Oryzias latipes: one gene and its partner. The main gene of each other region encodes a partner of the protein of the gene in region 2 in a complex. Links are inferred from orthologs where the notes say so. Each region holds a gene or a part of one and is shown on either strand. Other genes may lie near its edges. The genes, in order: dkc1 and wrap53.

Region 1 (4,354 bases), on a different chromosome or scaffold from region 2:
GTTCAGTAGTCGAGACGAGAGTGGTAAAGCAAACAAGGATTCAACCGGATTAAAAATACACGAAGTTTATTTCCCTGACAATAGTTCTAGAGCACAGATTAAACATTAATGCAGATATATCTGGATTCTCAAGTAAAGACCTACTGACGCACAAGTTACATGCGAATTACATGCGAATCGTAGATTTTCCTAAGAACAGTAAAGTCCGTCCAAAACAGTCTTTTAAACATGTGTTTGACACTCCTCCTTCTGAAAACATCATGACCACTGGATCTCCGCCCCGGAACACTCTGATTCGTCAGCCGGTATCCCTTGTGCTTCCACCGGCCAATAGCTGAAGGTTGCCAACTCCAGATCCGCTCGCCTTTCAAAGGGGCGACAGTGGCTCAGGTGGTTGAGCGGGTCGTCCAATGATCGAAGGGTTGGCGGTTCAATCCCCGCTCCCACCAGCCAAAATGTCGTTGTGTCCTTGGGCAAGACACTTCACCCTCCTTGCCTCCAGTGTGGCTCCACTGGTGTGTGGATGTGTATGAATGATCCCGGTGATGGTCAGAGGGGCCGTAGGCGCGAAATGGCAGCCACACCTCTGTCAGTCTGTGGCTGTGGCTACAACCGTAGCTACCATCACTAAGTATGAATGAGGAGTGAATGAATAATGGACACAATGTAAACGCTTTGGGTGTCTTGAAAAGCGCAGATAAATCTAATCCATTATTATTATTATTATTATTTCACCGGCGCACACAATCCAACGATCAAGAGTCCTCATCTGGTCCAAATAAATCCTACCAGCCAAACGGATACTCCATCACCGGCACGTGATCAGAGGTCAGCTTCATCCTCCACATGAGAACAGGAATCTGAACACTTTCCCTAGGATAAGATGTTCAACCCAGATAGTAGAAATGTAGTCCATGACATATTTATTCCATCTCTGGAAACTCCTAGATTTGCACAAAGAAGTCCTAGTTGCTGCTGCAACTACAAAGCACAAGTGAAGGTCACTGGAGAATAAGTCCTGATGAGTTCACTTCACACTAAAGATAAAGCTGTAACATAATGAAGAATAAGATATTAAAACATACATTTTCTACAGCAGTTTCCTTCAGAAACAGATCTTCATAAATGACATTCATTAAGTGTCTCTTTGGGTTGGAAGTTCGGGAAATAACCTTCTTATTTTATAAGTCTTATTCCTTTTCTGAGAGTTTGTCAGTGCCCGAGACTCTGGATGAATAAAGAGCCTAAACCCTGGTTAACTAGTTTTTCGGTAATCCCAATACATGAGAGGAAATCCAAAAGCTCTCTAGCCCCGCCCCGGATGTGGCTCGATCGTCTTCCGGTGCTCGTAGACCAAAGAATAAGAAGGCGGACGCTCGCACGCAGTCACTTGGAAGAAGATGGCGGAGGTTGAAGGTAAGGGCGACCCACGTGGTTCTGAAGTTTTGCCAGAATCAGAACCGCTACCCTTAATGCAAAATCAACACGCCCGCACGGCGTTACTGACGCAGTTCCCATCGCACGCGCGGCGCGTTCTGCAGAGCAGGCCGCGCACCAAAGCAGGCCGAACCGCGCCACGTGCGTCCTGCTCCGGGCGGCCTACACGATAAACCGGGTCAGATTCGGTTCGCTTTTGGAGGTCTGCTACTTCAGGGGTTGAGCGCTTCTTTGGATTCCCGCCCCGCGTGGTCCTTCCAGTCCACGTGACGTGCAGGAAACGCCACGTGCGTTGGGAATAAGTCGTTAGTTTTTAACAAACACCTGTTTGATTCAAATGTGCGCGCGCCACAATCAAAATGGGAAACACAATTAGGTTCTGACTAGTTTATTATATGACAGTTTTTGGGTCGAACGGATCAGAGCCGAACTGCAGTAAAACGTGGCTCCGTTTCATGTCTGCACCGGTTCTAACCGGTTTACGATCAGTGCAAACGTTTCCACCTGCGGGGTCTCCAAAACGGTCAAAGATTTTGTTGATGATTCGAGACAAAAATCTACGAATTCAAGATTTTTAAGGATCCATTGAGATGACTTTAGCAGTAAAGCAGCCCCAAAGCATGATGCTTCCACCCCCATGCTTCACAGTAGGTAAATGGTGTTCTTAGGACGCCACTCCACTAATCTGCTGTTCCGTGTTTCTGCAGTAGCATCTGTTAAAAAGAAGAAAGGGAAGAAAGTCTGCGATGAAGAAGTTGGGGTGAGTGATGTTGTCTGGAGTAAAGGTAATCTCATGGATCTGCTGGAGCTGACTGTTTGTTTTCCAGGAGATCCAGAGGAGTGCTGACTTTTTCATCCAGCCAGAGTCCAAGGCAACATCTTTAAACACATCACAATGGCCCCTCCTTCTCAAGGTCAGCTCCACCTCGACCCCTGCCTGGGTCATGTGACATGTTGGCAATGTTGGTGTGACATGATGAAGCAGTTTATCCATTCTCTGAGCACTGCAGTCTTGGCGTTTCTTTGCCCGTCTCCATCTTTGGGGCCTGGTCTCTGCTGGTCACCAACTGTGACCTGGCGTTCTGCCAGGTTATAGGAGGTGACCGTGTAGAGGTGGAAGCGACCAGACTGTTGTCAAGATGATGCTCTGCTCTGATCACACGCCGCCTTGAAACAGGAAATGTGTGAGCAAACAAAAAAATGGCTATGTGGTCCAGGCTTCACTATCCGGCAGTGATTCAGATGGCTACTTTTTGGAGAGTATGTTACGAAAAAGTAGTACCAGCATGGGGTCAAAGGGCATGAGAATATTTGGGCAACCTGGTACTGGGGTTGGTTTCTCCCTTAGACAAAAAGCTAATTCAGGATTTAACGCCAGGTGTTCGCTTCGGTTGGTACATCGACCTCAAACTGTTTCCTGTTTTGGCAGAACTTCGATAAGCTGAATGTGCGGACGGGCCACTACACTCCCCTGCCCAACGGCAGCAACCCCCTGAAGAGGAACATTGCAGATTACGTCAGGTACATTCACGTTGCGTAGGGTCAATGCTATGACGCAGATTGCATAATGACACTGCCTCCTCTACTTAAGGTCTGGCTTCATCAATTTGGACAAGCCAGCCAACCCATCATCCCATGAGGTGGTTGCGTGGATTCGTAGGATTCTGCGAGTGGAGAAAACTGGACACAGTGGGACGCTGGATCCCAAGGTCACTGGCTGCCTGATTGTGTGTATAGACCGTGCCACACGATTGGTCAAATCGCAGCAGAGTGCAGGTACGGGTCCTGAGGGTGTCTGGCTGGGTTTTGGGCTTCAGGTCTGATTGGCAGATTACAATCACTAAGACCTGAGAGGGGATGGGTCTGATCCAGAACTAGAGCTGAGGATCCAAAGGCTTTTCTACTCTTCATTCTCTTCAATGTCCCCCTCCACTTCATCCGTACTGATCTAAACCAGACCCCCACAAATCTGTTTCTATTTAGTTTTTGCTTTATCTAAAACTGTGAATTTTAGTCCAGACAATGAAGATGGAAAAGGACACTCTAGCTTTAATAAATGAAAAGACAAAAAACGGATACTGATGATCCGAAATCAAACCTTTTGCTGATGCTTTAGTAACGCATATGGAAGCACGGGGGTCATTTCAGCAGCAGGCCATCTCTGACCGCCCTGGTCCACGTCAGGACGTTTGCTGAATATTTTTGTGCGCGCACACCTGGCTGCTGCAGTCAGCTGGCCTGACGTCTGTCTTTGCAGACACCATGTGACCATGGGTCCGCTACAGAGTCAAAGTACAAGGATCTGCTTCTGTCACCGGGCGATCCTCAGTCTGCCAGCACTGTGTGATTGGCCCACTTCACCTAAGCACTGGTTCCTTTAGCTGCGAGCCATTTGGGAGCCGTTGATTGGTTGAAGCCTGACTGTTCTGTGTTGCAGGTAAAGAGTATGTGGGGATCGTCCGGTTGCACAATGCAGTGGAGAACCAGCACGCTCTGGCCCGGGTAAGTCTGACCTGATGATCCAGTAAGAGCTTGCCTTAAGCACACACGGCTGAGGCTTGAGGTTCTGGAAGGTCTTGCATTTAAACCCTCCAGAGTAAAATCCTATTTCAATTCTTTTTTTTTTTATTGCAAACAAAAAGAGAATTGTTACATACATGAAATACAATGAAACAAAGAAGTGGTTTCATTTTGTGCACGGAGCCTCTTTGTATTGAAAACTGAAGGTTGCAGACATGAATGTGGGTCATTTAATCAGGAACAACATATTCTTGTGTAATCAGAACATTTCAGGTCATTGTTTTCTTTCTGAAATATGGAACTGAGACAATAATATGGTGATAATGGCGTGTAAGCAAATGATAATGACGTAAACCCTAACATTACTCCCTTTTTATCATTTGATGTATTTTAGGCA
Region 2 (4,361 bases):
TGTTTAGGACCCCGGGAATTCTCTCCGAGTCTCACTGGTTGAAGATGTTCTGGATCCATTTTAGGTCAGATCCCGTCTGATTCTGTTTCCTCATACTAAATCTTTTTTTTGGAGTCGCTTATATATTTTTCCTCATTTTGGTCTCTACATTCTCCGCGTTCATATATCCAATTGTTGCTGTTTTTGTCTTGTCTTCAAACTGAAAAGGAAAAACTTCTTAGTTTTCCTGCTCACAGCTCTTTTACTGCCCCCAAGTGGACATCTCTGGGACCTGCAGGCTTTGGTTTTTATTTTTACAGCTTTTGTTTTGGGTAAAAATCAAGGAAAGATTCAATAAATAATTATTTTTTTAAGTCAGAGTGAATAAAAAAAAGTATAATTTTATACTTTCATGGTGCAATTTCCAACACAAAGAATGTCTTTGTGGGCCACGGGGGATGAATTTGAGTGACCAGATTTCAGGCGAGCCTTCACACCTGCTAGACTCGACACACTTATGGACTGTGGCGAGGGCCACAACCGAGAGGTGATCAATGCTGCCTTCAGGCTCCGGCGTGGAACTCACAAACACGTGTCCGGCTCCACAGAGTTCATGTTGGGGTACCAGCAGTAGTCGTAGACGGTGTCTCCTTCAGCCATCCTCAGCACCGGACTCTGAGCCCACAAGACAAGCAGAGATGGAGAGAAAGGTGATGACGAAGGCTCGCTCCACGTGTTCGAGGTGATTCGACGTCTCCGCCTTCTAGAGCGGAGGACAAAGAATCTAAAGCTGTTAAACGCTAATCATACAAACTGGGTTTTGACATCCTGAGATGTTGGGAAATGCCTCCAAAACAGCCAATTCCTTCTAGTCCCATCATCTCAGACTCTTTTAAAGTCCAAAACCTTTTCTCCACCTCCTCCTTCCTGTCCTTCTATCCCCTTCGGTGTTTTTTCTCCACAAATTTCTGCCTGAAAACTTGACTTCCAGAGAAACAGGTGTGAAACAAAACAAAACAACAAAAAAAAGACACAATTGCTCCCAAAAATATCAACAAAAGCCTTATTTGAGCCTCTTAACAACTGAAAAACTCTGTTTTGGCCCCATTTCCCTTCCCTATGTAAAGCACGGGGGTGGCAGAATCATGGCTGGGGGGTTTATTTTGCTTGACAGAAACAAGGGCATTTTGAGGCTAATGTGAGGTTGGACAAAGTCCACAACAGGTTCTAGATCTGTTGCCACGGTAACCAGGGTCAAGTTCTCCACGGGGATGAGTGGACAGCTGTTTGTTTTGATCTGAAAAAAATAAAGGGGTGCAAACGGGTTTCCATGACTACAGATGCGGTGAGGCTCGGTAATCCGGACGGGAAAGGCTGCACCGCCAAACTCAACGGGTGGAGGACATTTGGAGTTTAAATGCAATCCCCAACAGATTCTTTTTTTTACGGGTCCCAAACTCACCATCTCAGAGAGCGCCCCCCAGCTGTAGCTGTACACCTCTGGCGGAAGGTTGTAGAGGCGGAGCACGTTGTCGGCGCTGTTGGTCAGGACGCAGGAGCCGTCGGGGGCCCTGCAACAGGAGACGGCGTCCGTCAGCAGCCCGCTTACCGGGACTGTGGATTAGACCATTTTTTTCCAAAGAACGGGGGGGGGGGGGGGGGTTACCATTTGCACCCTTTGAGGTAATTCTCCGTGAACTTGGAGAACTCCGTCCAGGAGCCGGTCAGCATCTGGGGATCGTGGGTAAAATCCAAGCCGAGGCTGAAGGCAAAGCAGGACAGTTTTCAAACACGCCTTAAAAATAAAAAAAATAAAAAAGGAAGAAAATCCAAAACTAGAAATGAAAAATCTTCCGCGTACGACACGTCTACGAGAACTTCATCTGCCTTAACCCTTGTGCTGTCCTGTGGGGTCCAGATGACCCCACTCCCAACGGTAACGTGCCCCTGAGGCACGGGGTATTCACTCCAGTTCATGCTCCAGATCCACCTACTGTTGTTCTCCAGTGGGGCTGTCTGCAGATCTGTCACTCCTGCCCCCCTCCTCCTCCTCCTCCTCCTCTGGATCTCCATTCTGGTGACATCCCTCCCATCTCTGCTGCTCTTCCTCCTCCTCCTCCTCTCCGCCCTGCTGCGCCCCCTCTGCTCCTTCTGGCGGCAAAAGTTCATGCAGAAGAAATCTTGTTGAAGCTGAACTCGTGAAGACCTGTCAGATGGTCACGTGACTGTACCATGTTCGGACGGGGGGGGCTTTTCCTGCCCATCCTGATCCTCCTCCTCCTCGCTCCTCCGGGGCCGCTTGGGGCTTGGCGGGGCCCCCTCCTCTCCACCCGCCGCCGCCGTCGGTTGGGGCGGCTCGCCGTCCGCCTCAGAGTCCTGCCCCGCGCCCGTCACCCCCCCGCTTTCACACCCATCCCCCAAATCAGACATGGCCTCCGTTTTACCCCCCCGCCGCGCTCCAGCGTCTCGGTCGGTGTGGAGTCCGCGGGTGGAGCCGTCAGACGTGGGTGATGTAGGTACTACTGGGGTAGTGCTTCCTCCTGCAGTGGGGGTGTTTGAGTCTGCGGGGGTTCGTGGACATCACAACACCCGAACACCTGGAGGGGAAGAACCCAAACACCTGTAGCTAGTTGTGTTGTTGTGACGCGAAACACTCACCAAACGTGGATTAAGTCCGAAATTAGTGACGCACTTTCACTCAATAAGACACAAACTACCACTAAACGTGTCGAGTACTTCAGTTTATCGCTAACAGTCTGTTCTAAAGTGAACTTACCAACATACTGAACAAAACTAACACTTCAGTTAGCACCGGCTAGCTTTAGCCGACGCTAGCACTGTGAAGCTACGTACCTGCGCAGTAGTTCTCCGCGCAGTTTGGCAGAAATCCTCTCGGCGGTTTCGATGTTTCACACAGAGGCGGTGAAAACTGCAACTCTTTCGCGCGGAAACTTTCAGCTCACGCGCTCATGGTGAGAGGCAAAGACAGGTCTTCCATGTGATGTCTGTTAAATCTCGCGAGAGTTCCATCAATTTCCCAATGGCTCACGTCGTGATGTCTCGCGAGAGTTCCGTCGAGTTGTCTGAAAGTGTTGCGTTTACTGAGCGTCGAGGCCCGACAAACAAGACGTTTCCACAGCTAAATACTATTTATTTAGTATTTGTTTTGTTCTTCAAACAAACAGGAGCAGAACTATTTACAAATCTTTCAGTTGTTCTCGGAAACAATTTTAATTATTTCTTGTTTATATTAAAATACTTAAGCAGAGGAGCTGAGCTGACTGGGGCGCAGTCACTCGCTGAAGTTCGTTTAACCGAGGAGGTTGCGAACGCCACAAGCTGACTTCATCTGACTTCAAAAGTTTCCAGTACAGTAAAAGCGACGTACAGCCCAGAAAACAAACATTTTTGCCTAATCACAAATGGATTTTGAGTGGAATTTCATTATTTAAACGTTAGACCATTAGCAACTGGAAACTAAACAAAATTGAGGATTTAGAATTATTTACAGGAACATTATTTTTATTTAAAATCTGCATATTTCTTTATCAAAACTCAATTTGTTGACTAAAAACCTTACAATCAGATTCATAAGTGAGAAAGCCGGACTGGTTTCTTGTGCATAATCTTTTTCTTTTGGGGGGGGGCATGCCACCCCCGGTCAGCTCAGCTCCACACGCGACAGACGTCAGCCCTTTTTGAGCCTTCAGCGAAACCCCAACAAATTCACCCTTTAATTAAAAAAAAAAGAAAAGAAAAGCCAACCACCAGCAGAGTTTAGATCAAAAACATTTGCAGCTCTAGTCTGTACTAGTAAAGTTGATCAAATGCACATGTAGTTAGATGACAATCCTCTTTTTTTTTCTCTTTTTTTTTGTAGCTCGAGTATAGTTTCCAACTTAAACTTAGCATTGAGAGAAAACTTCAGTTAGTCATTCGGGACTCAACTATACAATTTAAGGCATGTTGAACAGAGTAATAAAACAAAAAACCCACTGAAGGAAAAAAAAAAAAAAACATCCATTATTTACAGAGCTCAGCGTTTATAGTGACGAGCGTCGCCGTCTGGGTGATTTCCCCGTTACAACCGAGCCTCCTCCCATGTGACTTCTGCTGAACGTGTGCACGTAGTGTGAACCTTTGGGTTGGTGTGTGGGTTGATGCCCCCCCCCCCCCCCCCTCTCTCTTTTTGTACAAAATCTTTCAGTTCGTCCGGCTCCACGGCTGCAGGAGTTCCTCCAGTGTCCCCCCTCCCAACGAAGACAGAACACCTTAGTAGTTCCACACTGAGGTGCATCACAATCTTCTTCTTTTTTTTTCCTCCAATGGAGGCTGGAGAGAGTTCGGCCGAATCCTGAACTCTTCCGCAGATGGAATGATAA

Evidence for each region.
Region 1: wrap53 (region 2) and dkc1 share a complex: the UniProt entries of both Homo sapiens proteins name them as parts of the telomerase holoenzyme complex. The link is inferred for Oryzias latipes from reciprocal best matches to the Homo sapiens genes WRAP53 and DKC1.

What each region holds. Positions count from the first base shown.
Region 1 is NC_019880.2:47,580-51,933, reverse strand, and holds the start of dkc1 (H/ACA ribonucleoprotein complex subunit 4), read left to right. Parts: upstream 1-1,324; 5' UTR 1,325-1,400; coding exon 1,401-1,416; intron 1,417-2,144; coding exon 2,145-2,197; intron 2,198-2,264; coding exon 2,265-2,351; intron 2,352-2,866; coding exon 2,867-2,958; intron 2,959-3,028; coding exon 3,029-3,213; intron 3,214-3,874; coding exon 3,875-3,939; intron 3,940-4,351; coding exon 4,352-4,354.
Region 2 is NC_019876.2:6,272,912-6,277,272, reverse strand, and holds the start of wrap53 (telomerase Cajal body protein 1), read right to left. Parts: upstream 3,017-4,361; 5' UTR 2,756-3,016; intron 2,577-2,755; 5' UTR 2,410-2,576; coding exon 2,211-2,409; intron 2,131-2,210; coding exon 1,974-2,130; intron 1,742-1,973; coding exon 1,646-1,741; intron 1,551-1,645; coding exon 1,442-1,550; intron 655-1,441; coding exon 566-654; intron 1-565. UniProt on the Homo sapiens protein: RNA chaperone that plays a key role in telomere maintenance and RNA localization to Cajal bodies. Specifically recognizes and binds the Cajal body box (CAB box) present in both small Cajal body RNAs (scaRNAs) and telomerase RNA template component (TERC).